Stegostoma tigrinum: one gene and its partners. The protein of the gene in region 2 interacts with the protein of the main gene of each other region in a pairwise test. Links are inferred from orthologs where the notes say so. Each region holds a gene or a part of one and is shown on either strand. Other genes may lie near its edges.

Region 1 (11,143 bases), on a different chromosome or scaffold from region 2:
TAGCTATGTAATCGTAATTTAGATATATTCATTCGTGGAATCATGACTGTAATATGCATTCACACAATTGATGGATCAACAATAATTAGGAGATAGATGTTCGAGAAGGAAGGGTAATAAGAAGTAAATCAACAAATCACTAGTTTTGTAGATGTGTCTTGTAGGTAGATGCACAGAGTAAGTTAGATGGGTAAATAATAGTTGAAATAATTTAGATTTTCTATTAGCATATTTTTCAATTTGGATATGTTTTATTACAGGCGCACAATTGCTTTTGCTAGTTTATTTACACTATTTGGGAAACATCAAACCACAGTCCCTCCACAATATTTTTCTTTGCCCATTTTAAACAAAGAACAATAGCGTCTATAAGTGCTGGGACCCACAACATCGAGTGTCCCTGAACTGTGCCTTCAGTAAATTCATACCAGCAATAAAATAAAATGGTAAGAGTACATATACAGGGATATGATTTATAGATTTAATTTTGATGTTCTTACGAAGAAAATCCCAACAGTAGACCGCAACGCAGATTCTCAGCTCTAAAAGATTTCACAGTAATTGTGTGTGGGAGTAATTGTTATTGCACCAGCGTTCTTCATTAAAGCATGCATGCATATACATGTGCATTTAATATACAAACACCACAACACTTCTAGGGAACACTTCCATTTAACCAACATTCGCCGGGTTTATTTGAACGGCCAAGCGAGCTCGAAACATAGAGAAGCTCGATTTTATTCTTGATAACCCTACGTATGGCTCACTTCCATTACAATGTTGTTTTAATTGCGTACGATTGAAATTCACTAATACTCCCCAAATCCCAACTTCGATTTTCCATAATTGCACACTGTTAAGGTTTTATCGACCATAAAAGAGTGGAATGTTTCCTTTCGAATAATTAGGCATTTTGAACATCTCAATGGGGACATTTGTGTTTTGGAATAACAGAGCATTTGCTGCGCCCAGACCGCGGCATCAGATCGCAATGAAAGGACGGAAGCCAAAGGCTCCTTGCTAAAGATCTCATTATCTCGTTAGGTTTCCTTTCCGTCAACAGTGGTCACATCTCTTACTGAAATATCTGAGGTACTGTAAATAATAGACATACATGAGGAGGACGTGGATATATTTTAGGCAAGTAAGATATTTTAGCCCTCAAGTAAATACTGTTACTGCACCCATACTGCACCGAACTCGAAACCTAGCAATTAGTGGGCAATCATTACAAATTAAGGAGAATTCGTGAATGCGGTCGTTTAGTAGTTGGATGATTTTACATTTTCGACAGATAACAGTTTTTTTTTGGTGTGGATGCCCCATTAGTTAATGCAAGTAGTTAAAATACCACAAGTAGATTAATTTTCAGCCCTGCAAGCTTATACCTGTTTCTCTTTCCTAATTATAGACTTGCTATTAAAAAAAAGCCAAAAGCTGGTCGAAATCAAAAGCTATATCTGTTCGAAGTGTGAGTATAAATACAGAGCAATTATGGAGGAAAATGTGCAAGATTAAGCCAGTTCGACCCCTCTTAATGAAAGGCCGACGCTTGCCGCTTTCCTCAGTTTCTGCCCTAAAGCCTCTAACCATGTATTATATTTATGCGTTTACTTCCAATTGTATACTGAATTTTAATAAATTCGAACAGTTCTCATCAACGTTGATCTTTTCTGTTAATGGATTTGCTTTGTGTTTATTTTTGATTTTCGATTATTTGTCACAAACCAGGTCTTAGAAGTAAAGGTTTGATTAGCAAGCTCCCACAATTGCTGCATTCTTTAACATGAAGCATCTTCACACAAGTTGCGTCGTGCAAATGAACTAAATGCTGAACAGTAAAAGGTGATATTGAAAGATGAACAAAAGAGCTATGCGTAAACCACGGCTATTATTTTCCAATTAGGTGGAACAGCTAATAGCCACTGCTGCTGCATCGCGTGTTAGGAAAACTAGAGAAAACAAGGCAATATAATGAGACCATCAACACACAGAGTGGTGAAAATTGCTACTAAAGAGCCCATAGAATATATTAAATAATAACTTGAACACTATGTATCTTCTGGAGTTGAAAGCAATACCGTACAATTTAACTTTTTTCATCACTAACCTAGAATTGAATTCTATATTTTGCAATTCATACTTTTAAAAATAACATTGCAGTTTCAGAAAATAAAGCGCCGATTAAATTTCCTCCGACGGTAGGTTACAACTAATTACGAAATGGACTGGGAAAAGCTAAAATACTATCACTGCGATTTATTCTTTCCGTTGACGTATTTCTATTTCCTTCTAGACAGCAAACCTTCTGAATGATAAGATAAAATAATAGATTCTGAATCGATGGAATCCGAAACTCAATGTATTCAATGTTAGGAGAGTTGAAGCTAGAGAACGTCAAATTAAAAAAAAATACAAGAAAGATGGAATATATTCAAATCCACCACTTGTGGACTAGTATTTTGAATGTCGTTTACAAAATAGAAATTTCTCCCCAAGTCTTATCCGGTCTTGCAGCGACCAGAACAGATACAGCCTAATTAGCAACTGCTGACGGAATGTCTCTTGGTTTACTAGGTGGAATTGGGGCCTAGTTTGGGCTTGGTGAGCATGACTAAGATTTTAAAAAAACATATGTGTATAAACATTTCTAAAAAATATTAAATACGCATTTAATCCGCTTACTCAATTCATCTGAAAGGAAATAACATACCATCTTTGAAATTGTGAATTGCACAGCCGTGCTTCAAGCTTTCCACCCACCTGGCGCTGATATTATTTCTTTTGCTACGCTCACATCTCGTTAACAGGTTGCCACAATTTGAACTATAATTATCGCAAGGAAGCAGTATAAATGTTCTAAAGACTTTGATGTAACTGTAACCCGTTCCAGAACCGTGGTTCTTCGAGAGTTTAAATGATCGAAAGTTTTTTGCTATCTTTTACATAAATAATGAAGTTGCATTCTGAAAGATTAAAAAAAACTCTGCATTGCTTTATCACAACTAAACAGGCCTATTCATTAAACTCACCATTCACTGACAACACTTTCTTGTTATGTCATCGGGTTCATTCAAATTCTTCGTTAAATTCGATTTCATATTCCTTACACAAGGAAAACAATTCCATAGAAAATCTCGAATATCACAAATATGAGTTGTAACCACGCTTTAACCATATAATTAAGGAGGCACCGTAGATTTAAATTGAGCAAGCTTACTACTTCCCAGTCTTTATCAATAACAAAGTGTATTTGTCCATTTCGATCCATGAATACGCATACCTTGACCGTTAACTTTAGTATAATTATGGCACACTTATTAATGATCATTACGGATCAAATAACTATTTGGCGCAATGCATTTCATAAGTACAAGTATTGCACTCAAAGCCTAATATAGTATAAGTGACACACCGCGTGATGTCTCGCATTTCCGAGAGCAAAGCCCACAGTTTCACTCATTTCTAAAGCGCAACAAATAATTTAATGCAAAAACGCTTTAAGTGCTATTTCAGTCGAGTTCAGTGCGTGCTATTATACAAACAAACTGCTGATTACTGGGCATGTCCACCAAGCGACACATTGAACGGTTAGTTTAAGAATGCAAGTCAACTACTTCATCAGTAACACATGACTAAGTGAGACGCTGCGCAGCAACACCACAAGTTTGACCACACTCCAAACACACGGTGGCAGCAACGAGTCCAAGAGGACAGCAAACATTAATAAATATCCACACGAACACACACATCCTCAGTCAGCCGGGTCCAAGTGCCTTAGTGTCAGAAAGACAACGTCCGCGTTAAGTAAGAAAAACAACAGACAGCAAATTTGCATGCTCAGACCCGAAATAGAATATCTATGATCATTTCTCATTCTTGAGCCGCCTTCACCACTGAAATTAACCACAAATAACTGGAGATGATGCTTCACAAATAAACACTAAGGCATACATTAGATTTCTACCAGAAAATGTTTGAACAAAATAGCAAAAGTAGACACTAAAATTTATTGCATCTTAAACGAAAACTATGCGTAGCAAGAACAGCAATTCAACAGAAATAAATCATTTAAATGAAGAACAGCCACCGTAACAGATTAATTATTTTCAAATGGAATAAATAGTTTATTTTTCAACTGCAATGAATCTACAATAGATTGTATTACAACGAACCTCACTCCCAGATTCCCCCTACATGACATTTAAAAACTGAACCAATGCTCGTGCGTTACTTTTGTCAAATTGACCCTAATGCAAAACACTTTGAAACGAACAGATCGGCTGTTGGCCAGAAACAACCAGAACGTAAGACGTCAAAAACATCATCCACACTCATTTCAAAACAAATAAACTCCAAAAAAAATTGCAAATGCATAACAAACTGCCCTTAAAACGGCCAGATTACGCTCAATGAATGCTCAATAAACGCTACGTTTCGAGTTATCACAATTCAAAGGTCGTCGGCAATTTTAGCATGATGATCTTTAACTTTGGCAAAATTAAAGAGCTTTAAAGGTTGTTTTTAACAATAACTTTGCTGAAAGGGCATTTTTGAAATGCTTTTGTTTTGCAGAGCTACAACGCTGAGAATGGGCCTTACCTTGCTGCTGATTCCACCCCTTGGCCTGGCAAGTCCGGTCTCTGCACAGACCGGCTGTCGTATTTATTGAGCCCCAGTGTCAGTGTTTACAGTCCCCGTGTCTAGTTTGACAGCTGTCCGTTCAGCTCCATCCCGGGCCCCTGGTTCCCGCATTCCGCCAGCGGCGTTTGGTGACGACCTGCAGGAAACTGCCCTGCGGATCAGAGCCGGCGCTTTTTAATCCAATGCTCCACCTTCCGTGGAGAAATTCGTAGCTGCCAGACACGGGATCTGTGCTGTAAGCTTGGATGCATTGAAACTCCATAGGCGAATAATCACTGCACTCGGAGGGGGTAAAAAGAAGAAAATATGCGTTGCTGAAAGCCCGCAAGCTCTCACATCCGAACCAACACGCGCTAAGCAAAAGAATGCAGTTCTATAGTCGCAAGGGAAATTATAAAAAGTTCATGTTCACGGTTACACTCCACATGACTTTCAGTGGCCAATGGAAAAACCGAACAACTCGTAAAGTTCTATTGCAAAGTTGTAAATTTTCATAAAACAACAACGGATTTATGACATTTCCCCATGACTATTAGGAGGCAGGTCTTAGACGCCATTTTTAACAAAGAGTCAAGTTAAAATTGTGAAATTATTAAAGATTTTTTCCGCGGTTTAAAAAGAATTTTCTAATTTCTGAAGCTACGGTATTATGATCATAACACTCGTTTGTAATTCGTGGTTTTTTTCACAGAAATCATTAGTTTCTGCGTTCAGACGATTATTGTAACGAATCAATTCAGGTTTACGTATCATCGCATTTCTTCTCGTTTGCTCGTTTCTTGAATATGTTACATTTTAAAAATGGCAATGAGTTCGCTCTATTTCGTGGGGGAATGAGCTACGAGTTACAATGCCGCACTGCTTGCATTACAAATAAAGTCTGCGCCTGTCCGAATATTCCTTCCAAGCTCGGCGATGAAGTAGCGACTCGGTTCCTTCTTTATTTGAATGACAATTTTTGTTCGTTATGAAACCAGAGACACTAGGATCACTATGTTCTCATCTTTTCCATTTTTCTTAGACTCTTCTGAAAGGGAAATGAGCTCAATCAGGCATCGGGTCCAGCTTGCTTTCTGAGAACTTTAGCCCATCATCGACCTAACCTTCGCCTTAAATCAGATGCATTACTTGCAAACACGGTCTTATTTAAAAATATTCTTGTCAACGATAACTAAGTGAGCGTAATGTGCACAAAGGACCTTGTCATCTTCAGTTTTAATCTGTCTAAAACGTACCCACTTCGTGGACAAAAATTATGTATTCATTTGTTTCGGTGAAAAACAGATTGGATGTCAATGAATAGGACTATAATATAAAAATATGCGTTTGTTACTCTGAAATAATTTATATTTAATTGCTGCTGTTAATGACACTACTTCTATCTTTTAACGAATCATGGAGCCACTCATTTGGTGGTAAACTGCTCAGGCCAAGAAACGACACACTGTTTATTCAAGCAACGTTTAATATTTCTCGTTTTTGTTTGTCTACAGAGACTCCATTTAAAGTATACACGGCTGGAACGAATATATGCATTTTAAATAGATTGCACCTTAAACCTTTAACATCGGTTATTATTTAACAACACATACACATATTACAAAGCAAACTTTCCATTGACAGATACCATACCGAATATGGAACCACAATATATCTAGTTGACGATGCTTTTCAGAATTTCTATTATTACATTTGGTTACTGTTTTTCTTTAATTTTATAATTTAGACAGTACACATGTATAAGACAACTGACACAACAGACTTAAAGAAAGACAATTACATCATTCAATAATACATGGCTGCTTGAAATCTTTAGCAGGTATACATTTTAATGCCATCAATCAGAGAGAAATATTGCAATTTTCCCCCTTTATATATAACTTGTTTTGCTTTTTTTACATTATAGTATTTAAGCACGGTACGAAACAACTCCATTCGCGTCAAATGTAAACTGGTATCTAGGTAGTTATCACTATGATGTGTTATAAAGTGGCTATATAAGCACCTCCTTAAAAAAAAGTACATCAGAATATTATTCACATTTTTGTTCTCATATAATGGGTACTGTTTAGAGAAGTGCGCAAAGTCTAGACTCCAAGAACACTCTCTATCAAGAAACGAATATTCAATTCGAACATTTAGGTAGTTTCAAAAGACGTGCAAGATGTCCACTATTGTGGTTTAGGTAGTTACATTTCATTGCTATGTGATTTGAAAAATCTTCTTCATTTTGTTAACAGAACGGTACATCTCGGTGTAAAGCGACACACTCAGAGAGCAGTGGAGAAGTAATGTAATAAAAACAATAAAAACGAAGAATTTAATACAAATAAATTATTTTATTCGACTGGTTAGTTTTCTGTCAATTCTTGCTATGTCTGTTAAAGTGACTCAAGTACTTGGTCTTTGATTGGACTGGAATCAACCGTCTATTATCACGGTATTTTTGTTTTCTGAACAGTGAGCAGGAATACTTCAATACATGTGAAGAAGAAATATCAGAAGTAAAAAATAAGTTTGAGAAGTAGTTCAGTGCATGAGATATATTTTAAAACACGTAGTGGTATTTGAATTTTGCATTATCTAGGTTAAAACTAAAACATTGCGTTTTATCGGCTAACGTTATCCCGTTGATTGCACTGCGGGAGGTTCAGAATCCAAATCTAATTCATTTTATTTTAATAACAGCGAAGAAGGATTTCGAATTTCTTTCGCGTTCCTTGCAATACTGAGGACAGAGATTCTCAATTAAACTTGAGAAAACAAACATTTCAAATTTGACTGCTTCCCTGTAGCATTTGCGGACAAATGTTCTAAACCCTCCACTTTCCCTTTGTTGATGAAAACACGGATTCTGAAGTCAATTCCTAGCTCTCTACCAATGCCAATAAAGACTTGATCTTTTAAAAAGAAATAACTGAAACCAAAATCAGTGAACCTCGAATTTTAAAGATATGATTTTGAAAGAAGTTATTAAAACACATAGGTAGTATCATGAGTGCTAGCACACATTTCTGAAATAGTCCACGATTGTGGTTAGCTAGTCAAATGTCATGGTTTAGCGGCTGCTGAGCAACTTTCTTCGCATAGTTCAGGATTTAGCTGAGAATTTCATTCCTGCTTTTCCTCGGTCGTGGTGCTAGAGCTCCCAGCTTTCGTTTCTTTTTTCCATTTCATCCTCCTGTTCTGGAACCAGATTTTGATCTGCCTCTCAGTCAGACACAGAGCGTGGGCGATTTCAATCCGTCGCCTGCGAGTCAGATAGCGGTTAAAGTGAAATTCTTTCTCCAGTTCCAGAGTCTGGTAACGGGTATAGGTCTGCCGCCCTCTTTTTCTGTCAGGGCCTGCGAAAGACATGAAAGAACAGAACAGCCAAACCATGAACCCAGCTTTTAAAACCAACTTTCATAAATACACAATGCAAGCAGTGCGGACATTCCCCTGTATGTTGTTTTCAACATCCACTCGTCATCTCTGCTCTTACAGAACCCCTTTGAAATATTTGTGGCTGAACTAAGTATTTAGAGGATTTGCCAAGGGTCTGGTTTAAAATGCAAAATGTCTTTTTGGCTCCGAGTGGAACCTTCTTACAGCAAAATGGTTTTTGAAAAGAAAAACAGATTTTCAGTGCAAATCACGTCGTGCTCTTGATAGTTTATTTACATCCCAGCGGTTGCCGGAGTAACATTGCACCTTGTTTAGAGGTTGGAGTATTAATATTTCAGACACAGGAATGACAGGTAGCGACAATCGTCAGCTTTTATGTGTGTGTTTTTATTTTTCAAAACGATTCGATTCTAACGCTAGCAATTGAAATGACAATTTCACTCTTGTAGTTCGAGCTCCTATCTTATGGCACCGAAGTAATTCGTTTCAAATACGGACTTATATCTACTAAGGGGGTGGGGTGGGGGGGGGATCGCATTACAAGCACCCAAAGATCTTTCACGGAGTGGAAAACAGAGGGAAAAAAAGCTTCAGTTCTACGACCTTGCCCAATCTGTAAACATACTTTAGACCTGCAATGTATCAGTCCCCATCCATTCAAGAAAAGACGGTGTTTTTTACCCCGCGTATCAGTAAAGAACATTGCTCTCATTTGATGTTGATAAAAGTGAGTAAACAAGCAATATGTGAGTTGCTGTTAACTTTAAAGGAACGGAAGTCGAGTGCTTTTACGAGGATTGTACTGATTAATTGTGCAATAAAAGTTTTATGATTGCTATCTACATACAATACTACGTACATTTGAGGAACTGGTCCTCAGCTACCATTAAAACTTTTAACTACCTTCAGGATGTAGTGGCGCTCATTTTAACTGGTCATTTGCACGTTTTCTCGTCGCTATGTTACACTATGTCCCATACCTGCATTCCTCATCCAGGGGTAAATCCGGAAATTGCTCTCTGCTTGAGGGTGCACGTTTGTTTGATCCAATTTTTCGCAACCCTGTTTGCTCAGATCGCTGCAAAGAACTGGAATGTTCTGGTCTAAGGCAGAGCAGCGCAGGTTGTAGGAATCGGAATTTAGGTTATAACCTGTGTTGTACATGGAAGGGCCGTGATAGATTGCACTGTTAACATTGTACAGGCCGGCCATCGGGGCTGGGAAGGCGCTGGCGCTCGCTCCATAGCTGGATCTTTGTGAGTTGGTAGCAAAAGCGCAAGAAGTTGCTTCTGTAAAGCCACTCGCGTTCTGGAAAACGGATGTCCCCGCCGTATATTTGGGAAAAAGAGCATTCACATAATACGACGAACTCATAATTTTGTCTGGTGATTTGTTGGCCAGGACTTCAGTGTCGGTTTTACGAGATAGCGTGATAAATGGTAGCATTACACCCCCGATTTACACCAAGCACCCATTTTCCTTCGGCCCGACTCATTTCTATTCACGTGACCTGGTCATGTGATCCCTTCACCCAATAGCATTCGGCATCACAGGTGGTAAATAGCATGGTATTCGACTATTTTCAAAAAGATTTTGTGCTAAAATCACGCACAATCTTTTAATGTTGAAAGTATCGATAAGACTGCGTCACCTTAAAAGGTCAACGTTCTTCTGTTAATTTTTTTTCCAAGCCACTGTGCCATTTATATGTGAAAGGTTTGGGAACGCAGGTATGATTCCAACATTGTTGAGAATAAGATATGCAATGAAACTCATACAATTTGGCCGCATATTAAAAGAAGCAGCAATCATGAATAGTAATATACTCGCCCTGGTATAACATTTAGGTGCATCCTACGCTGTTTGGTTTAAAAGAAAAGGCTGGGTGGAAGAATTGAAAATAAATGAGCAGTTGTATTTCTCTCTTTACTGCCCCCCCCCCCAAATGCTGCACCCGCCCCCCTCCAACCCCGTGCAGTGGTTTGCTGTATTACGATGCCATTAAGGCATTATACACGGTAAGAAACATTGGGGATTTACTGAATTAAGATTGAATGTACATCTAAACTCAAGATTAGAGAATAATCCATGTGGGTAAATTGTAAGGGTTACAGATACAAGAGAAATATTGCAACATCAAAACGCAAAATGGCTGTGATGCTAGCCTCTGTTACGAACTCTCGGATTTTTGTTTTAACATTTAAGCCTGTTTTTATATTGATTTACTAAAATGGACGAGTTCACTTTGGAGATGACCACATTTCCTCTGACGGGTTTCAGTGCAACAACTATTCTGTAGAAACCTTTTAGAGTTGCTAGGTAATCTGGTTGGAACCCCGCAGGGGATTTACCCCGGGTATCGTTTCCGCCTTCTGTTTTACAACTTTTTTTTTCTCTCTCTCGTTTTCTCCCAATCTTCTCGTTAGATCACAGAACTTGACTACGTAGCTGCTGTCCTCAATGTCCGGGCACATTGTCCAGTTCCTGTGTTTAAGGTTTTCGTTCCTCTCGAGCGGAACAGTTGCTTTTATGTTCCACATTAATGGGCATATTTTGACAGGGTTAAGCGTAGAAAATCATCGCCAGCATTTACAGCAGCAAGACAGTCTAGCAAGCATGCACCTGGTGCGTTAACAGTAAAGGGTTGTTAAAATAAAAACATGTTTTTTGCATTTCCGTCTGCGATCCTTTAGGAACTGTTTGCTCTGATATTCTGAAATGTTGTTTTCTTTTGATCTCTGGAGTCTCCGCTGGCATGTCCCAATCCCTGTGCTAAACAGACTGGCTTTACGCCAGCAGAGACGCTCATCAGGAGATTTTTCTCGCTACCATCGCTCCCCGCTTGTTAAAAGAGTATATTTGCTGGAAAACGACTGAACGGTCCGCATGTTTCCATATCTCCTGTGCATACCCGCAACGAAACGACGGTAGATGTCCCAGGAAGCGCTCCAGATTATGGTCTGAATTCGAAATATTTCCTCTATTAAAATATATTTTATATTTTATGTTTTTTAATCTGGCACAAATATGGTGAGAGTTTATATATAGGATGTCTATCACTGCAGGCAACGGCGATAGCTACTTATTATCTTCTAAGTCCAGAAGGGAAAAA
Region 2 (10,823 bases):
TAGCAAGGTTGTTGTGAAACTTGAATGGGTTCAGTAAAGATTTGCAAGCATGTTGCCAGAGTTGAAGGGTTTGAGTTATAGGGACAGGCTGAACAGACTGGGGCGATTTTCCCTGGAGCATCAGAGGCTGAGGGGTGACCGAACAGAGCTTTATAAAATCGTGAAGGACATGAATAGGGTAAATAGACAAGGTCTTCTCCCTGGGATGGGGGAGTCCAAAACTAGAGGGTATAGGTTTAAAGAGAGAGAGGGGAAAGATTTAAAAGGGAACTAAAGGGCAACTTTTTCATTTGAAAGGTGGTTCGAGTATGGAGTGAGCTTCCAATAAATGGGTGGAGGCTGGTACAATTAAAAAATTTAAAAGGCATATTGATGGGCATATGAATAGGAAGGGTTTAGAGGGATATGGGTCAATTGCTAGCAAATGGGACTAGATTTATTTAGGAAATCTGGTCAGTATGGACAAATTGAATGCAAGAGTCTGTTTCGATGCAGTATATTGACTACTGAAGTTTGTTTCTACTACTTCTTTAGGTATGCATTCCAGCCCATAGAAACATGCTCCTTCATTCTCTTCTTTTGCCAATTATCTTAAACTCTTTCTGCTAAGCCATGTATAGTTTCTTCTTTTTTACTTCATCAGAACCTGTCAATATGATTTATGTATTGTTACTACAATGGCGTAGTCCTCTGCAATATGATTATATTCACCAACATTTCAGAAACTGTCATTACCTGTGAGACACCGACAATGGGGACACTGCATGGCAGCTGCTGTGTTTAATTTTTTTTGTTTCATGTTTTTCACATCAAATACCTTTCTCTGTCACATACAGGTATATGGTTCACTTTATGGAAAACAATACATCACAAGTTATATCCCATAAAATACAAAGGAAATGCACTGTTTTCACTTACTGTCAGCAAAGCATTGAAAAGCCAAGGAATTAAACAACATTTCCAGACACAGGCCTTAATCAAAAACACACTTTCACTTTGTCATTGAGTACTACTCTGTGACACCCTCAGAGAAAGAGATTACAACATGTGCATGTCAGAAAACCTTTAGAATAAAAATTTCAAATGCGCAAAATCCATAAAAGTATTGCTAAGGGGAGGAGGTGACTTAAGGGCATTATTGCTAGGCTAGTAATCTAGACATTCAGATATTGAATTTTAAGTCAACAAAAAATCTGGATTGAGAGTCTAATGATGACCATGAAACTGTTGTTACTTGTTGAGAAAACACCATCTGGTTCACTAATGTCCATCAGTGAAGGAAACCCATCATTACCTAGGCTGGCCTCTTATGATTCCAGATCCACAACAATGTGCCTGACACTTCACGGGCTCTAGGAAATTAGGGATGGGCAATAAATACTGGCCTATCTACCAATGCCTACATTCTAAGAATGAATTTTTAAAAAGTTGTGCATAAGTTAAGATGTCAAGAATTACAAGTCAGAACTGGAGGATGCATTACAAAAACCATGGGAAGGTAGTGTTTTATGATGGATGGAAGGAGTTGACTAGGAGGTCAAATGATGACATCTTTCAGAATATGTCCAGTGATATTTGGCAAGTCATGGATCATTGAGATGGCTACAGCAACAAAACCAACGGTATCTACCAGGTAGAGATAACTTACCCAGAGATATCCCGGAGGCAGTAGCGAGCAGGATGCAGGTCGACTGCGCGTCGTGACCGATGTTTTATAGGAAGAAGAACATTCACACTGATTATCCCTCAAAGACCCTGTTTAAATGTAACAAAAAAGAAATCACATGAAAACGGAGACATTTTAACCTTCTGGGGGAGAATTTGTCAGGGTTATCCTGGAGCACTTAATGAAATTCCAGAACTATTCCGGCAAAATCTGGATGTCGAGCAGAAGTGCAAGATGGCCTATGTAAATAATCCCTCAAAAAATGTGGTCTTTGAGCGGCACTGTCTATCAGTCGCTATGACCACGATTATCAGTGGCATTCCCCAGTCACATCAAAGACAAGCTTGGCCTATGTAAATCCAGGTTACAACGAAAGAGAATGAATAAATCTGAGTCTCGGGTTCGACTATAGGAGCACATTTGAACAAAAGACATGCCAGCGGAAGCGCAGTCCGCCAGCAGAATGCAGGATCTTCCCGTGTGTCTCATGCAATATTTCTAACCAAGAACCGACTGTTCTCCGTGGAATAAACTCGCTATACCGACCTGATTCAGATTATCCTTCACCCATTTGTACCAGTTGCTATTCTCCACATCCCCCAGCCCCTTGCCGGAGACGATCACTGCTTTGCGGAGCTGGTCACTGCCGCTCGGGCCCACTGGAGAGGTGGAGCCAGTCCCAGCCACACAAAACCTGCGCCTTACAACGTGAAGGGGATTCTCACTCTTTAGGCATTTCGTCGATTAGTATATTTGGATAAGAAACCACTGCAGGCAACCCCGCCGACTGATTGAGACAAATTTTGACCTGGGAATTGAGTTCAATTTTTGGTTGCGAGGGTCTGAAATACTCTACAGAAAGTAGGCTGAATGTTCCTCTTCTGAAGTATAAAGTTCATTACTGCTTGGAATTAGCGCACAGCAGCAGAATTAGTACAAACAACATCATAAAGTAAACAATTAGCTTGCTCAAGCAATGGACAGGTTGATTTGAAAAATTCACCTTTATTCCTGGATATTTTTGGAGGAGTTTTACAGATTATACCTCAGCCGAAATCCCACATTATCTTTCAAAGGGTTCACAAGATGTGTTGCTAGCAAGTGCAGTATTTATTGAACATCTCTAATTGTTCTTGACGAAGACTGTGTTAGCTCAAACTCTTCCTGATATTTACGAAGTATAATTGCTAAGTATTTGTGGTGGGATTGAACATTGCCGGGGGTAAGCACTGTTGAGCGTTTGAGCATTGTCAGTAATGGGAGTGGGCCATTGCCAGAGTGTGGTAGTAATATTGCAAAGGCCGCTGAGCAGGATGAACCATATCATGTGTATGATCATTGGTGGAAGTGCAGGCAACTGGGGACTGTTGGGATTGGGGTGTGCCTTTGTTAGGAGGGTAGATAAGGGGTGTGAACATTATAGGGTGCAGTAGTGGTGAACTTTGTTAAGGGGTGTGGGAGTTGTGCTGGGTAACTGATGAGGAGGTGTGAGCAATGTCAGGTAGAGTAGAATCTTAGAATCTCTACAGTGTGGAAGCAGGCCATTCAGCCCATCAAGTCCACACTGGCCCTCCAAACATCATCCCACCCAAACCCACCACATCCCCATAACCCTACATTTCCCATGGCTAATCCACCTAGTCTGTACATCCCTGGTCACTGTAGTATAGTAGGACTGTGGGAGGAAACTGGAGCACCCAGAGGAAACCCATGCATACGCGAGAAGAATGTGCAAACTCCACACAGAGAGTCACCTGAGGTTGGAATTGAACCCTGGTCCCTGGTGCTGTGAGGCAACAGTGCTAACCACTGAGCCACCGTGCCAGCCCAAATCAAAATAACATGATACTGATTGATAATTCCTTTAACAAATTTCTGCAAAAATCTCTGAAGATGAATCATGCACAGTGTTGTAAGACAAAATAATATGGACTTTTAAAAAAACATACAACTTACCCTTGCCAAATTGAAGAATCACCACTATGCAGCAATTCATCTTTTTCATAATTGTCTATGGCAAGCTTGCAGGCTAGGTTTGCTTTTTGCCAAGCTGTTTGGTTGCTTAACATTTGCTTGCAGTTGGTTTTGTCAGGGATTCAGGAATAAACATTGTCAGTTGTGTAAAATTGCGTGCATTGTTGGGTATAGAAAATGCTGGTGTGTTTGAATGTTAATGGAATGGGATCCGAGTATTGCTAGATGTGGAGCAGAAAGTAGTGCATTGGTGTGAGCAGTGAGAGGGACAGGGATCCTGTGACTTGTCAGGGGTGCAGTAGATTGAGCATTGTTGTGGGAGGCACAGCATGGGTGAGCATTTTCAGTGGATTTGGGGACCACAGGATTTTTTTAGGCCTCCCCTAAACAGTTCCTTCCATCAATCACCAAATTATACCTGAAATTAATAGAAAGGTGGGTAAATATCTGAGTATGTATAAGGCTGAATGTTCATTGTGAGACCCCATCAGAAATGTCTCAATGTAATTCTTCCCATTGGAAATTTGAATTTCCTGAGTAAATGCTCCATATTTACATTTTAGCATTCTCTTTTACCTTTAGAAAAACTGGATCTGTGTTCAATCTAACTGAGGTAATACTAACTTTTGGCTATGTAAAATGAGGGATATTGTATTGTTCATCTATTATGCACACCATCCAATTTTCCTTTCCATTATAGTAATGGGAGTGTGGAATGAGCAGCAATTGGATATAGCTCTTTGTCTTGTGGTACAGCAGGTAAGATCCCTGCTTCAAAGCTAGAACTCCAGGTTTGAGTCTAATTGGCCTACTGTTTGCAGTTTTCCACCTCCCTCCTTTCTTGCACACTGCTGTCACACTTGCTGCTTTTGAAATTGTTGTGAGCTTTCTAGAATCTAGGGAAATCCTACCTGGAATCCAGCAAATATATGGAAAGAACTCTGAAACAGAAAAAGAAGCAAACAAGATTTCTTACCCCTCACTCTAATCTGGTCTAAAGATGTTTAATGTTGAGAGCAAACAAGACATCTTTGAAGGATAATGAAAAGTAAGGGAAGGTAAGGGGTACAATTAAAAAGGAAAACTTTCATTTTGATAGTCTTTCACACCCCTAGACTATCACTAAACATTTTACAATAAATTTAAATAATTTTGTAATCATTGTTGTAATTTCAGAAGTAGGGAATGTATGAAAGAATCCTAATGATAGAGCTGCTGACCCCCTTCTAAGAAACTTCAGCAGGGAGAAAAAGATAAGTTTGAAGGTGACTACAGCTGACAGGAGAGAGAACATAGAATTGAATGGGTATCTCAGCAATGAAGAGATGGGTAGTGATGCAACAAGTGGTTGGTGGGAAAGACAGTCACCTGAGAATGTTAATGAATAGGCAAAATGTTAGGGGTCACGATACCAAATAGATGAGACTAAATATGATTGTTGGGGTAAGGAAACTTCTCATATTTATTCTAAAACTTTTATTAGCAATGTTAAAAAAGTTGATAGTTATTATCTACCTCAGTTGCTTTTCAGAACGAGCCATTATTTATGCCATTGCATGAAATGGTACAAGTATTCATAAACTACAGTTGGGTGTGGATTTCCAAGATTTTGAAAATGCTAATGAGGAATATTATTTCATAGAACCTCTACAGTGTAGAAACAGGCCCTTTGGACCAACAACCCTCAGAGCATCCCACCCAGATCCAACCCCCTCTCACCCAACTAATCTAAACATCCCTGAACATTACAGGCAATTTAGCATGGCCAATACACCTCGCCTGCACATCTTTGAACTGCAGGAAGAAACTGGTGCACTCGGAGGAAATCCACACAGAGAGCTGCCTAAGGATGGAATTGAACTAGCATCCCTGGCATTGTGAGGCAGCAGTACTAACCACTGAGCCACCATGCCACCCATTAAGGATGTTGAATCTGGGAGCAAAACTCAACATGATAACGCTCCTGCACACTTTGTCCTTTCCAATGATGGAAACTGAATTTTGAAAATGCTGGCAAAGAAGCTGTGGTGACTTGTCGCAGTGTATTCTTTGGGTAGTAAATACTGAAGTAATAATGTACTGCTGGTGAAGTTAGTAGAGGCTTAAATATGTGTAGATTGCCAATCAGACTGCTCTGTTGAGTTATTTGAGTGTGACTGCAGTTGCACCATCCAGACAGTAGAGAATATTTCATCATCCTCATGACTTCTGTTGGTGATGCTTTGAGAAAAGCTGAAGTGTGTCACTTGATGCAGGACAGCCAGTTTCTGTTCTGAAACTCCATTTTCTCTCCACAGATGCCTGAGCTGCTGAGAATTTCCAGAATTTTATTTCAGTGCCACCACCCCTTTCCCACCCCTCATCAATCTTCTGACCATTTACGTGGCCGTTCCTTTTAGTTTCATCAATAGTTCCCAGGTTTTTGATGTTCAGGTGATAATTTTGTTATGAAGATTAATTTCTATTACAAACAAACCCTACTGTTTCTATGCAAACACTTGAACTGTCCCCAGAAGCCTCTGTAGATCAGGTAGCAGGAACAAGTGAGATTCTGAGGTAGCATGCCAAACATCATCACCATATTAACATTGTCACAACTGAGTTGAGGTGATCATGAAGCCAGAATGCCAGACACTTGCTTCCCAACATGATTATTCTACGCGAGCTTTAGTCTATATAGCGGTCTCCTGGTAGTGACTGCAAGTGATACAATGCCACACAGGTTTCACTTGGAAATTTGGATATTGACCCGAATCTAGCAGCTTACGTTTGATCATTGCATGTTATGGGGCAGCCAAAGGGCCAGTCGACCCAAAACATTATCCCTACTTTCTCTCCACAGATGCTGCCAGACCTGCTGAGCTCTTCCAGCAATTTCTGTTTTTGTTTCAAACACAGACGGGTGTGGCCTACTTCGAAAACTTCTTATCCCGTTTTATCACCTTTATTCCCATCAGCACCTTAAACAACATAAGACGATCGAAATAAACAGCTTCACTCTCCAAAATGGATACAGTCACTGAAATTCACGTGATCTCGATCTTGCCCCTTCCTAGACCCGTGGTGACGTGTTAAACCAGGCGCATGCTGAGCTGTACTTCCTGTCGTAGACGTCAAGAAAGGAAATGACGTAAGGCCGCGGAGCAGGAACTGGGTGGAGGAGGACGTGTTGTCAGGATCGGGATTATCGAGTGAAGGAGTCGCTCACTTTCGGGGCTTTTCGCGGACTAGGTGATCTCCTTGTGATCGTTTAGCACGCAGTGTCACTGGACATCAGTCCCGGTGTTCTGCTGATTAACGCTCTGCAAGTCACTGGCCGCAGTCATACTCAGGCTGATGTATAACTGTGAGGGATGGTGGTGCTGCTGCTGGTAATAGGTGTCATTGGTTTGGGTTCGTTGACACTGTCTTAATCGGCAGGTATATACTGGGGGAATTGCTAGAACTGTGAGTGATGGTGAGAAAACGGGTTTCATTGGAATTGATCTTTGGCAGAAGGTCGGGTTTCTAAGAGTCGTAGAGTTGTACAACACGGATACAGACCTTTGGGCTCGATTCGTCCATGTCGATTAGATACTCTAAATTTATCTAGTCCCACTTGCCAGCATTTGGCGCATATCCATCTAATCCCTTCCTATTCATGTAGCCATCCTGATGTCTTTTTAATATTGCAATTGTACTAGCCACCACTTCTTGTGGCAGTTCATTCCATACACACACCATTCTCTGCATGAAAAAGTTGCCCTTCAGGTCCCTTTTAAATCTTTCTTCTCTCGCTTTAAACCTATACCCCCCCTAGTCCTTGCTTGGTTATTTATGATTTTGACATCCTTAGGATTGTAACAGACTGCTAATGGATTTTGAATGTGAGCTTGTCTTCTTTCTCAGCTTCTTCTCCATACAAAATTAACTGTCTTAAAATTTGTTTCTCACACTTGTGACTGTATAACGATGTATAACTGCAACTGTATAAACTGCAGTTAAATTACAGTTGAGAGACAACAATTAACAACATCCATTTAAATGCACCCATAAACTTTGTAAAATATTTCAGGGTCATTCACAGAGGTGTTCAACATAGAAAATTTCATTCTTAACTTAGCCAACAAGTCCCCTAAATCTGCTGGCTGAATTCTGTGATCTTAAAATAAGTGTATGTGTAAGTTGTAATCTTGCAAAATTTCCTGCAAACGTAGCATCTGTATTCAAGAGGAAAGCACAAAGCAAGAAACTATAGAACAGTTATCCTTATGTCTATCACTGGAAAAATGCCAAAATTCATCATTAAAGAATTCACAGCAAGAAGTTTAGAAAACTAAAATACAATCAAGTTGAATCAACATGGATTCAGGAAAAATAAATTGTTTGAAAAGAATTAGAATTCTTTAACAAACTTAATACGCAGGTAGATAGAAAGGAATCTGAAGATGTAGTGTATTGTAATATTTGCAAAGATCATTCAATAAGTGGCACAGAACTCATAATAATGAAAGGAAAGTACTGCAGTTACCAAAAGTCTGAAATAAAAAGAGAAAATGCTGGAGAAACTGGCAGCATTTGTGGAGAGAGAAATGGGGTTCACATTTACAGTCTGATCTGTTTCTTCAAAACAGTTTACAAGACATTAGCATGCATGTACAGCAAGTAGGTGAGGAAGGTAAATGGACTGTTGGCCTTTGTGGCAAGGGAGTGGAACATAAAAGTCGGGAAATTTTGTCACATTTACATGTGGCGTTGGTGAGACAATACCATCCACAGTTTTTTTTTCTGTCTTTATTTCAGGAGAGAGATCCTTGAATTGGAAGCCATACAAAAGATTCACTAGGCTGATTCATGGTATGAATGGATTTTGTCTTCAGTTGGGTGTACAGTCTTTGGAGTTGAGAAAAATGAGAGGTGATCTTGTTAAAACAAAAGATTCAGAGGATGTCTTAAGAATGTAGATATTGGGTGATGTTTCACTTCATGAGCAAATCTAGAACATACCTAAAATAAGTACCCTCCTGATTAAGACAGATATTTCTTCTGGGTATGATCAATTTTCGGAATTCAGTACTCTGAGAACATGGGGGCTAGCTCTGCAGAACATAATTAATTTGAGGACAGATTTTGATTTACAAGTAAATCCAGGATTATGGGGACTGACAGTAAAGTGGAGTTAAACTACCAACAGCAATTATCATCTTGAATGTTGGAGCAGGTTGAAGGAACTAAGTTGCCTGCTCATATTCTTTAGAACATGAATGTATCTTTTGAACAAACCACTATAAGAGGATCAAGCTTTTGTTTGACATTGATTACTGGACTACCCAAGTAGGTCTTCTGTTATGTGGCCATCCCACATTGGTTAAACTTTGTACTATGAACCTCTCTGTGCTTTGCGTGTTTACTTTTTTCATAAGTTTCTGATGTTTTGTGCTGCCATTGAATTTTCATGACTCTTCTGAGGCATTGTTGATGGAATTACTTCGGTTTTCTGATGCAGTAACTAAGTGTTGCAGCTATAACACGTACATAGGTAAGGATCTATATTTTATTTGTTGGCTTTCAGTTTTTTTGCTGGTTTACTAACACTAATCCCATAGGCCACACAGAACATTTCAAAAGCGTTCATGACTCAAGACAATCTGATTCACCTCAGTACTTTAGTTAGCTATCTGCTATAAGCAAGGTGTACTGTTGGTTATATTGGATCACACCCTAGTTGTCCACAATTCATTTCATTTATAGATATTTTCCAATCAGCCTGTTCACAGATGTTATTGTACACCTCTGGGTCAGATGGGATTTGAACTCCAATATCTTTGTTCAGAGGTAGAGACACAGGAGCCCCATATGACTCATCTATATGCATGTTTAAATTGGTGAGGGTACAATACTTAATGTGAATATTGATTTTTCAAGCGTTTAGCAAAATATCGCATATACCACTTGTTAGTAAAATTTGGAATAGTTAGAGGAGATGGTGTCACAATCAAAATTGGCAATTACAGAAAACAGTGAATGGTTGTTTGTCAATTTAAAGGATTCTACAATGGTTCCCCAGTGAGAAATAAAGACTGTAAGAGAAGGGTGTACCATTAGTGCCAACAAAGAAAGTTGAAAATATTACATTGAAATAAAAAGATAAGTAGCAGGCCAGAAGTGTCTGAAGATTATGAACAGTGTTAAAGAATTACTAAAAAGAAATAAGAGGAGAAATTAGAATATAATAGCAAGCTAGCTAGAATTATAAAAACAGATATTAAGAGTTTCTTCAGGTATTTAAAAAGCAATAAGAAGTAAAGGGAACATTGGTCCTCTATACAGGGAGAGAGACTGGGGTATTAATAGTGGAAAAACAGAAATGGTATATGATTTTTGTCTGTCTTCAATATTGCATCCCAGAAATAATTCTGAATCAGAATCTGAAAGGAATCCAGCAACTTAATTTCAATCACCAGGGAAAGAGTACTGAGAAAATTCTTCGAAAATTTGACAGGCTTCCTGGTCCTGATAGACTTCATCCGAGGGTGAAGTAGCTGCTGAAACAGTAGATATAATTGTTTCAATTTTCAAAAAATTCCTTAGATACTGGAAATGTCCCATCACACAGAAAAAAGCTAATGTAACTCCACTTTGCAGTGAAACAGAAAGCTAGAGGCCAGGTAACCAAATATCTATCAGATGAAAAATGCTTGAATCTATTAAGGACGTTGTTGCAAGGCGCTTTGAAAATCTTATTGCAAACAAGCTTTTTGAAAATTGTCTTGTGAAAGGGAAGTGGATAGAGGAGTCAGTGGATTTACTCCACTTAGATCCCAGAAGTTATTTACAAGGTGCCCATCAAAGATTAAGTAAAACTAGAGCTCCTGGTATAAGAAGAGGCATTGTTTTGCCACGGATGGAGGATTGGTTGGCTAACAGGAAGCAGAAAGTGAACCCAAATGAGTAACCTTTGGGTTGGCAAGATGTGATGAGTGGTGTGCCACAGGCATCAATGATGGAATCTTATTTGCAATGTATATAAATGACTCAGATGTAAGGACCAAAGGTATGGTTTCTAATTTTCCTGTTGGTACAGGGCTTGGCATGCAACTAAGTCGTGAAACGAACATAAGTGTTCTAAGGGACATGGACAGCTTAAGTGAGTGGATAAAAATTTGGCAATAGTCTCTGCTGGGGTTAACTGTGAACATGCCCA
Region 3 (10,728 bases), on a different chromosome or scaffold from region 2:
TGGAAGCGACAGCAGAAGATCCCATTGTCAGGGGTGTGAAGGACCCAGCAGGAGGCATATGGGTTTGAGGTGGTGGTGGTGTAGAAAAGGTTGAGGGAGGTAACGAAGAGATAGAGCTAGCGATAGGATTAGATAAAGGACTGGGTAGAACTGCAGACAGATAAGCCAAAAAAAGAGAGAAACAAAAGAAATATGAAAAGATTTAGAGTAATACAATCAACATAAACATTGTGCTGCATTCACCCATTTCCATTTCCACTCCCACCACCCCCCCACCCCCAAATTAGTTCCAACATTTCGAAAGAGCATGGCTAATTTTTAACCTTAAAAAACTTTCCCACCGATCCCCAATACCCTTCTTTGAGCCCAAACATCTATTGATTTCTGTCTTGAATACACCCAATGATTAAACATTTATAGCCATGCAGGATAGAGAATCTTCAAGACTCTGAATTGAATGACAAACTTCATCTCAATCTGGAATGGCTAGCCCCTCCTCCTGTGACTGCCTTCCAGTTCCAGGCTTTAGCTAGTGAAAATAGCCTTTCCACATCCATCTTATCAAGCCTTTCAAGAACTTTACACTGAGACCACTTTTTGATTCTTCTAAACACCAGGGAATACATGCCATTCAAATCAATCTCTTCCCAGATGTCAACACTCATTTCAGTGATTTCAGATACTAGCTAATAAAAAAAATTTAGCTTCATATCTGATTTAAGATTCAAAATTTTGCAATACTGAACCCACAGTAAAAAGCTCTTCGGTTTAATGTTATAAAGCTTGCTAATAAAAATTGTGAATGATGAAACATTTTCACATCAAGAGATTAAATTTTTGATTGAAAACAGTTGATAAATGTTTCAACTAAGTATCCAGATAAAATCTCAATTTCATCTATAATATCTACAGGCACAGAAATGATTGCAGAATGTTGGTCAATTAGTGTAGCTTTGTCAATATGGCAAACCAATGCTATGTTCCGTTCGCCATTATCAATGCCTGTCCATTTATATTTGCTATTTTCAAATATTGAAAATCAACTGCAGTTTTTTTTCTTTATAGGCACTTGTGAAACAATACTTCACAAATCAAAAAAAGAAAATTTTGAAACTTCCTCATTAGTTTTACCAGTCATGGGTTTTTGAATTAAAAAGAATTTTACAGCACAGAAAAAAAATGCTTCTGTTAATGCTCTGAGCTCCATCCCATCCCATCTTCATCTCACTACCACTATTCACCATATATCCAGCTTTGCCTTAAAATATGTCCAAGTACTTCACCTCAACCACTTCCTGTTGAAGTGAGTCTGGCATTCTCACGATTCTTAAAAGTTTACCCTAAAATCATTAGTCTTCTTAGTGGAACATTATTTACAATTTTTACTTTTCCATATCAATGCCCTTGTTACTGATCTTACAATAAAATTCTTTACCATTTTCCCCTCTTAACAACTTTTATAACTTTTAAAACTGGAGATAATCTCATGCAGTGAAGCACAATCTGCAAAAACTGGAATCAGAATCTTGATTATCAGGAGAAAATAAAATGCACACACTTACGTGAATGTTTATCAAGGTATTCTATGTTATTTAATTAATTAATACTAAAATTTACTCACTGACATGTTCTTGTCTATGAATATACATTCTTTGCTTGAATGTTTGGTTTGAAATTTAAAACAGTACTACCTGTAGGGGCAGGGGGACTGCTTGCAGTCACTGCAGTGCTAGGTGGTGGGGTACTGGGGGGAGTCGTTTCAATCCCACTTTCCTCCATCATTTTTTTCCTTCAATCACAATTTTCTGCAAGCATACAAAAACAAAGAAATACAACAGTTATATTTCTTGACTCCAAATTCAGAACCACTTGGTCAGAAGTATCCACATTTGTATAGATTGGAAAAATGGTTAGCTACATCTATTCATTCAATGTTGATAGCAGAGAGTCAAAAAGTCAATCCAGCGACATCAGCGCAAAAAAAAATCCCAATCTGTAGGCTGAGGCATTAGGGTTGGGAAATTTTCATGCAAAATGAGTAAGCAAAAGATATTTTCACTGGTTAGATGGCAGGGCTACTAACAGGTCACAATTTTGCAATTTTCTCCTTATAGGGTGCGTGGGCAATGAGCAGGGGGCAATGTGAATTGTTCTTTAACAGAGCTTGCAATTTCACATTTGCTCCAACCTTCTGTGCTGTAAAAATTCGATCAGCAGTTAGACCAGCAACTGCTGCTCACTGCAAATTTTCTTCAAGGTGGCAGTAAGCCACCAGCTTGAACTGCTGGAATCTATGGGACATAGGTACACTTACTGCAGTGTTAGCAAGAAAGCCCTATGAGATTCATGAAAATCAGCAAAATAAAAAGAAAAAAAATTAGGCAGAGAGTTATGATCTGGATTTCACTGCTATATAAAAAAGGGTGGTGGAAGCATATTTAATTGCAACTCTAAAAGGGGGAGATTTTTATAATGTATTTATTCCTGAGGTATTAGCATTTTTAAGCAAAGCTAATATACAGTGCCCATCTTTAATGATCCTTGTAAATGGGGTGGATGCTTTTAGCTGCTGCAGTCCACATGAAGATTCATCCAGAGTGCTGTGCTGTTTGTGAACGAGTGCCAGGATTTTCATCCACTGACCTCGGAGGCAGAGCAAAAGATTTTCATGTTTCAATGAAGAGCAACATGGAGGGGACATTGTAGCTGGCGGTGTGTACCTACAATCCTTCGTTCTTCCGTGATACAGGTTTTGAACCACGCTGAATATCTGAAGAGTTACAAGAGAACATTGCTCAGATGGCAAACCTTGCTGCCAGCGGTTGAGGTGGCGATAAAAAAGCACAAGTAGAAATGGCTAAATGACTTAGGTATCAGTGATAATGGGAACTGCAAATGCTGGAGAATCCAAGATAATAAAATGTGAGGCTGGATGAACACAGCAGGCCCAGCAGCATCTCAGGAGCACAAAAGCTGACGTTTCGGGCCTAGACCCTTCATCAGAGAGGGGGATGGGGAGAGGGTTCTGGAATAAATAGGGAGAGAGGGGGAGGCGGACCGAAGATGGAGAAAAAAGATAGGTGGAGAGGAGAGTATAGGTGGGAGGTAGGGAGGGGATAGGTCAGTCTATGGAAGACATTCCATGAATATCAGCATTTGATCCACACTCTTGACCATACACTTCTGTTCCTTCATTTAGGATCATAAAATCCCCACAGTGCAGAAACAGACCATTCAGCCCATGAAGTCGGTACCCACACATCGAAGGGCATCCATCCCAGACACAGTTCCTACCCTAGCCCCGTAATCGGCATTTACCACAGCTAATCCACCTGATCTACACATCCCTAATCACCTGAACAATTTAGCATGGCTAATCCACCAACTAGCACATCTTTGAACTGGGGGAGAAAATCGGAGCACCCAGAGAAAACCCACACAGACACAGAGGGAATGTGCCCTTCACACTGGCAGTCGTTCAAGGTTAGAATCTATCCTGGGTCCCTGGTGCTGTTACAAAGCAGTGCTAACTATTGAGCCATCGTGCCACCTTCAGTAAAACTTCTTACTGAGCACAATCAGCAACTCACAGTAACTGAGTAACATGCTGCCAACAAAAACTGCAGGGAATCATCTGAGTCTCTAACAGCCCATCTTTAAAATCAATACTTTGTGACTATGTGAGTTGATGCTGACCGATACAATAAGGTAAAGGTGATCATGTAACTTGGACAGAAAGTGAGTGGGTGGCAGGACAAATGACAGATAAAATCGATATAGTCTTGCATTTATACAGCAAATGTCACACACTCAGGATATCCCAAAGCACTTTATAAATGAAATACTATTTGATATGTACAATATTCAGTGCTGTAAGGTAGGAAATAGCAACCAATCTGTGCACGTGAATCTTCAAGAACAGCAATTTCATTATTCCTAAGAAACTGCTTCAGAAATTTCAATTGAGGAATGAACACTGGCTATAATGCCAGAAATAACACCTCTTTGAAAGTGCACTAAAGTTTTTAACATTCACCTAAAGAGATGCAGGGGCCTTGTGTTTAACATCTCATTCCCTGTAAGCTCCAGAATTCCCTCCATAAGCACCCCTGCGGCTCCACCCTTCTGTAACGGATTGCTTAATACCGAAATTAAGCTTCTGGGTGCCAGTCCTATTATTCCGTGATAGAGTTGACCATCAAAATTTGCCTGATTACTCATGTGCTAGAACGGGGGAGAGCTTTACATCAGACCGTGCGTATGTATGTTTGGGGAGGAGGTTAGCGATTGTACCTTGAAACCCGGACGTGAAGTCTTAAACGTAGTGGTGGGATGGAGAGGGTGGGTTAAATGGAAAGCTAATATTCTGCAGGTACCACACGAGACTGATTAAACAGCAATTTCTTTCATCCTTATCGTCTGTCACTGGCATAAGTGACAAGTTCAACTTTGTATGGCTACATGAGGAGCATACCCCCTCCCAAGGCCATCGGATCCTGAAGTGGGACTGGACACCGTCGTTTGTGGCTCAGAGGCAGGGACCCGCTTCTCAGCCCCGACTGAACTTGGCACGGTTTGGCAATTTGGCGTTTATTTTTTTTTTGTTTTCAGCAAACGTCGGTAACATTCAAAGTCTGAAAAAAAGAGGGCGTCCTCGGACTGACATGCGAACGCCAGGCAGAAATCACCGCGGCCAGCTTCCCAAATTCGGGCCCGTCTGGAGCTCCACTGGGTCCCGAGGCCAGGAGCAACAGGCACGGGGAAGATCCAGGCTAGGTCAGCATCCCCGGTGCGGGGAAACACGTGGGGGGGGGGGGGGGGGGTCGGAATCGTCCCTGTATCAGCCTTAACGGCCAAGGGTCTCTCTCGTTCCTTGACACCTGATTTCCCCCCGCCGTGTGTCGGTGTGTGTCTGTCTCTCACCTCCCCAGGGTGTCGGTCCCTCGCCGTCTCCACCACCGCTGCAGCCGCCAAGATGGCTCCGTCGTCCCGGTAACGTCAGCGGCCACGTCAGCAGTGCGTACGTCAGCAGCTGCCACGTACCATCGAAGCCTCTTAAACGGGCAACTCCTACAGGGTGGCCCTCACAATGACACTGGTGCACTTTTGACTTCTCCCTCCGCACAGACTCACTGGCACTAATTGATCCACACCCTCGCTGACACTCATTGTCCCTCTCACACACTTGTTGACACCCATTGACACCCCCCACCCATCACACTGGCTGACGTCCATGGACATGCCAACCAACATACCCTCACTGATACCACCGGACTCCACCCCTACTCCACCACCAGCACCACTCTCACATCCATAGGCATGAATAGTTCATACCTATACAATTTTCCACATTGTTTAATCCATGCTAGCATTACAATTGGCCAGGTACAGTTTGCCTAGGAGTATAGTGTGATACTGGCAAACTCTGAATGAGACTAAGATCATCCACTTGACATGGCGAGTTGAATATGTTGTAAATGCTTCAGCCTTATTAGTGTCATGTACTCTACATTCATTCTGGATGGGGATATTCATGGAGACAGTTGTTTTCATTGCTTGCTTAATTGTCCATGACTTTTCTGCAGGATGCGACAGAACTGCAAAGTTTTGATCTGATTCATTGGATCTAAGATTTTGTAGCTCTTTAAATTGCATGTTGTTTGTGTTGTAGGTATATAGTCCTGCAGTGTGGTTTCACTAAATTGGAGCATCATTTTTGAGTTTGCGCTTCACCTGACACACTCTCCTAACTCTTTATTGAACAGGAGTCATTCCCCTGGTTTAATGGTAGTAGTAAATGTAATGAGAGGTATGATGTTACAGATGGTAGTTGAATACCGTCCTTCTGATGGCTCACAGCATCTCATGTATGTCCGATTTGAGCTTCTAGATCTGTGCTGAATCTGTTCTATATAGCCTGGTAATAACGCCACATAACACAGTGGACAGCATCTTCAATGTGAAGATAGATCTTCATTTTCACAAGGACTGTACATTGACACTTCTACCAAAGCTGTTGTGTACAGATGCACCTGTAGATTGGTGAAGATGAGGTCAATTCACCATTTTCCTTGATTTTTGAAACACTCGCTGTCCCATCCTGACATATTATTTTCAAGACTTTATCAACTTATCATTATTGGAGTTTCTGAGCCACTCTTGGTGAGGGACATTGAAGTCCCCTTTACAATGAATATTCTGTGCCTTTGCTGTACTTGGTGCTGCTTCCAAGTGGTGCTCAACGTGGATAAATACAGAGGCAAGGTAGTAGGTAGTAGTCAGGTGGAGGTTTCCTTGTTCATTTTAGAAATCATGCTAAATATTGGGATTGCAGAGTTAAAGATGTTCGTTCGCTGGCAGTGATGATTCTGTTTCCGTAGAACTTCTTTCCTTCATGTGAAATATTATCCCATAAAAACAGAACACTTATACCTATCAGGATGGATGTACAGGCTGAAAAGTAGAAGGCTAAGGGATGACCTAATAGGGGGATCTTTAAAGTAATGAAAGGTTTTGATAAGAGTGGAAACACAAGTGTTTAACTTATGGGGAAGAGCAAAACAAGGGACCTGCAATTTAAGATCATCACCAAGCAATCCAATATAGAATTCAGGCAAAGCAATTTTTTTCGGAGGGACTGGCAACCGATACCATATGGAAAGACAAAGTAGATAATGTGGATGTATTTAATGGGGTTGCGGGGAACCTTGATAAACCAATCTGGAAGAAAAGAATACAAGATTTATGCCAAAGGAACAGAGAATACTTGAGAAACTCAGCAGGCCTAGCAATATCTGTGGAGAAACAAAACAAGACTTTGAATCAGATATGACTGTTCTTCAGAAGTCATTTTATCTAGAAATGTTAACCTTGTTCCTCTCTCCACGGATGCTGCCAGACCTGCACTTTCTGTTTATCTCAGATTTCCGGTAGCTGCAGTGTTTGAGTTTTATTTGAAGATTTATGCTGATGATGAAGGATGAGAGGAGGTGTGAGTGTGTGATAAAGACTGGCAATGACAGGTTGGCCTAAACGTCCTTATTGCTGCGAGGTATATTCTAAGCAATCTTATGCAATTTGTTGTTAATTGAAAAGTAATTGATAGCTTGAGACCAACCATTCGTGCTGATTATGGTATCATTGAGTCAGAGAGTCTTCCAGCACAGAAACAGACCCTTCGGTCCAACCAGTCCATGCCAAACATAATCCTAAACTACACTGGTTCCTCCTGCTTGCTCCTGGACCCAATCACGCCATCCTTTCCTACTCATCTACTTATCCAAAATTCTTTTAAACATTGTTACTGTGCCCACATCCATCACTTCCTCAGGAAGTTCATTCCACACATAACCCATCCTCTGTGTAAAATAAAATGCCCATCATTTTTTAAATTGCCCTCCTTTCACGTTAATTTGAAAGCCCCCATCCTGGGGGAAAAGACACCTCCCATTAACCCGATCTATATCCCTCATAATTTTATAAACTTCGTTAAGGTCACATCTCAACCTGTTATGCTCTAGTGAAAAAAGTCTTGGCCTATCCAGCCTTTCTTTGTAACTCAAGCCTGCCATATCCAGCAATATCCTGGTAAATCTCTTCTGGACACTCTCTAGCTTAATAATATCCTTCCTATTACAGGGCAACCAGATCTGGACACTACTCCTGAAAAGGCCTCACCAACGTCCTGTACAATCTCAACAGTACATGCTAACTCATACTCAAAGGACCTAAAGCAGCCATGATAAAAGACTAAACACTTTCCAGTGCATTTCAGTTTTGAATGGGAAGACAAATGGCTGAGTCTTATATTTCTTTCGGCTAAGTCTGAGTTGTACTGAGTCTTTTTGAGGGATTTTTTATTGCTGCAAGATTTAATGAATTTTCTTGTGTCTCTTTCCAAACCTGTTGCTTTTAACTACTGATCCAGTCCCATCAGCATCTGCCATGTCAGTTTCTGGCCCCATCTTACAACATGTCCTCCAGAGAAAAACTCATGACTCAGCACATACCTGCTGAAAGACCGGCATCCCTTCAGCCCACGCCATCTTTGAATGACTGCTCTGTTCAGTCACAGATAGATTCTGAACATGTCAAAGAAAGTCAGATGGCACCATGGTTCTCTCGAAAGGACATCCTGGTTGAGGGGATTGCTGAGGAGGGCTGCTTATTTTTGGATTTTTGTTATTATGGATAAATGCCATCTCTATAGTGTGGAGGGGATGACCCACTGTTTTGTGATAGGGTCAAGGTCCTCCTCCACGTGACCAGCTTATGTGCTACACTCTCTGCTTTCTTATTTGGTCACTGCTACTACACCCACCTCCCACAAGGTTCATGACCTACCACTCTCACGGTCGCTTGCAACACCTCTTACCTGCAACTACCGCCCCCAGACTTCCAATCCCTGTGTGATCTCTATGCTACCTTGGGACACCAATCCACCTTTTGCTCAGTTGCATCAGATCCAACAGCTGTGCCACCTACTTTTATCTCACTCAATCCCTCATTACAGGAGAAGACAGCCGCTAAACAGGGCAGGAAGAGCCCATATGTGTAGAGGGCTGCCCAACATCAAGGATTTCACCCCAAAAGTGAAAATAATCCTGGTCCTTACAGGAAAAGGCCAGGACAACAACTGCAGAGATGCTGAGACATCCATGTCCTGCCAACCAACTACATTCATTGCACTGCAACTCTCACATTAACCCCACTGCCAGTGTAATTCATTACAGACCACTTCTAACCATGAAGACTTTGCTCTCTTCTGTACTGCAGTTACTGTTAATGTCCATTGAAGTGGCTGACTCCCCCAGAAGCTACCTCGGAAAATAAAAGGATGAAGGCCAGGGAGTATGCACCAGTAGGTCTGCCTTCTGCACTGCCCACCAGTTCAGATACTGACACCTAATGTTACCGAATGGTAATGTTAGGCTTAAAGAATATTGAAGCAAAATCTGCTGAGCACCTCACTGTGACAGCTGAGCACCTGACAAGGAAGAAATGGCTCAGACAACTGGCACCTGGAGGACTTCCGGACTGGGTACTTGCACAGCCCCAGGCAGGTGAGAACCCTGCGGTGTCAGCAATCAAAAGCTTAGTCCATATTAACAGAATGGATCAGGAGCAGTATTCAGCCTTGTGTGACACAATGGCCCTCATTATCTGGAGCTGTGAAGTAAGTCATGTCACAGTCTGGCTACTTTCATGAACAGAAAAGCAGCATCCGTGGAGAGATAGACTCAGTCCCCTCAATGACTGCTGGAGATGCACACACACCTACACTCCATTGCCCCATCCATTGGTCCTCAGGCACAGCGACAAGGGGAGAGGGACGTCAATGTGAACAGCAGGTGACCCTTCCTCACCAGGACACAGGGCTGTACCAGGAGCTACCAGGAAGAAGAACCACGCACAACGATCTCTGAATGCTCCTCTCAAGTAGCCAAGTCCTTCACTTGCCCCCTGCCTACACCACTCTGACTTTTGGAAGCATATGTGGTCCATCTAGGCACAAATACCCCTAGTGTTGCCTGACAAAGCCCCTAAGGCGAGTGGGCTCCATTGCCAAACAGGCTCACTCTATTTTAGCTGAAGAATAAGGGAGTACACAAAGACATAGAGGGAGAGGACAAAGATCTATGACAATGCATTATGTATTATTTTGGCCTTTACAAATAAATGCCACTGATCTCATTTTACATCTAATTGTTTGGCTCTCAGTTTAGTCATTATTACAGTATGAGATATCACTTCATGACCACAGATGAATTTCCATGAATTGAGATCTGTGCTGAGAACCTGCTACTTCTTCTGGAACCCAGAAGAACAAGGCCTACACAGAGCAATAGGTTCTGCTCACATCCTTCTCTTCCATGTACAACTGCCCTACTCTGTGTCCAAAAGTGTTGGCTAGTGATGTATGGGGCAGGGAGGTGCAACACAAAGAGGGGGTATGCGATAGGGAAGCCAGAGAACAGAGACTCTGCAAGTCTGTGTCCTGTTTTGTAGATGGTTCTAATACAAGGCAATAATGAGTGCTCCGCAGCCTGTGGCTTACAGCCTCCACCTGAACATGTCACTGAGGCAGAAAAAACCCATGTTCCCTTCCATGAATACCCACCCAGTCCCCATTCAACTTACTTACATAACCCTGCACCTACCAACCTTACCCCTCCAGCCCCTGGCATTTGAAGTGACCATGCCAGTTGTGGTCATAAATAGTCTCCCTGTACCCCTCACTTCAAAGCCAGAGTGCTCATCACCAAACACAATCTACCCTCCCCCAAGACCCCCTTCCCTTTTGTACATTCTCTTAACACTTCCCAACCCCCTGAAGATATGACTGTGCTGCTCGTAAAAGCCTTTGAACTACTGCCCCGGGCTCTCCAGAACTGAATGGTGCCGCCTTGAACTTCAACAAGGGCTACTCAATGGGTTTTGAAATGAATGAACATTTTTGACTTTGAGATGAAAGTGTAACCCACTCAGCAGCAACTAACTGTCTTGCAGCCTGGGTGCTAAGAACAAAAGCAGCATTTGGACTGATAAGCCTATTCCACCATTTTACTGAATCACAGATGACTTTTTTTTATTAAAAAAAGTGAAATGCTTAAGATTCTTGCACTTACAGACAGAGACTGAGTACTCTTTAAAGAGTTAGTTTTATTGGAAAGCTGGTGGCAGACACTCTATACATAAAAAGTAGCAGATGTAACACTTAAAGAGCAG

The links.
Region 1: the proteins of protein transport protein Sec23A (region 2) and homeobox protein Hox-A3 interact in binary tests that used the Homo sapiens proteins (3 or more experiments, as listed by UniProt). The two-hybrid records come from large-scale screens. The link is inferred for Stegostoma tigrinum from reciprocal best matches to the Homo sapiens genes SEC23B and HOXA3.
Region 3: the proteins of protein transport protein Sec23A (region 2) and prrc1 interact in binary tests that used the Homo sapiens proteins (3 or more experiments, as listed by UniProt). The two-hybrid records come from large-scale screens. The link is inferred for Stegostoma tigrinum from reciprocal best matches to the Homo sapiens genes SEC23B and PRRC1.

Annotation. Positions count from the first base shown.
Region 1 is NC_081355.1:57,684,512-57,695,654, forward strand, and holds the start of homeobox protein Hox-A3, read right to left. Parts: upstream 5,011-11,143; 5' UTR 4,603-5,010; intron 4,595-4,602; exon of another isoform or gene 1-4,594. Other genes in the region: homeobox protein Hox-A7, read right to left, coding at 7,756-7,988, 9,012-9,477. UniProt on the Homo sapiens protein: Sequence-specific transcription factor which is part of a developmental regulatory system that provides cells with specific positional identities on the anterior-posterior axis.
Region 2 is NC_081362.1:40,468,086-40,478,908, forward strand, and holds the start of protein transport protein Sec23A, read left to right. Parts: upstream 1-6,756; 5' UTR 6,757-6,871; intron 6,872-6,877; exon of another isoform or gene 6,878-7,060; intron 7,061-8,422; 5' UTR 8,423-8,473; coding exon 8,474-8,476; intron 8,477-10,823. UniProt on the Homo sapiens protein: Component of the coat protein complex II (COPII) which promotes the formation of transport vesicles from the endoplasmic reticulum (ER).
Region 3 is NC_081356.1:27,292,120-27,302,847, reverse strand, and holds the start of prrc1 (protein PRRC1), read right to left. Parts: upstream 5,011-10,728; 5' UTR 4,924-5,010; intron 1,806-4,923; 5' UTR 1,783-1,805; coding exon 1,692-1,782; intron 151-1,691; coding exon 1-150. UniProt on the Homo sapiens protein: May act as a regulator of the protein kinase A (PKA) activity during embryonic development.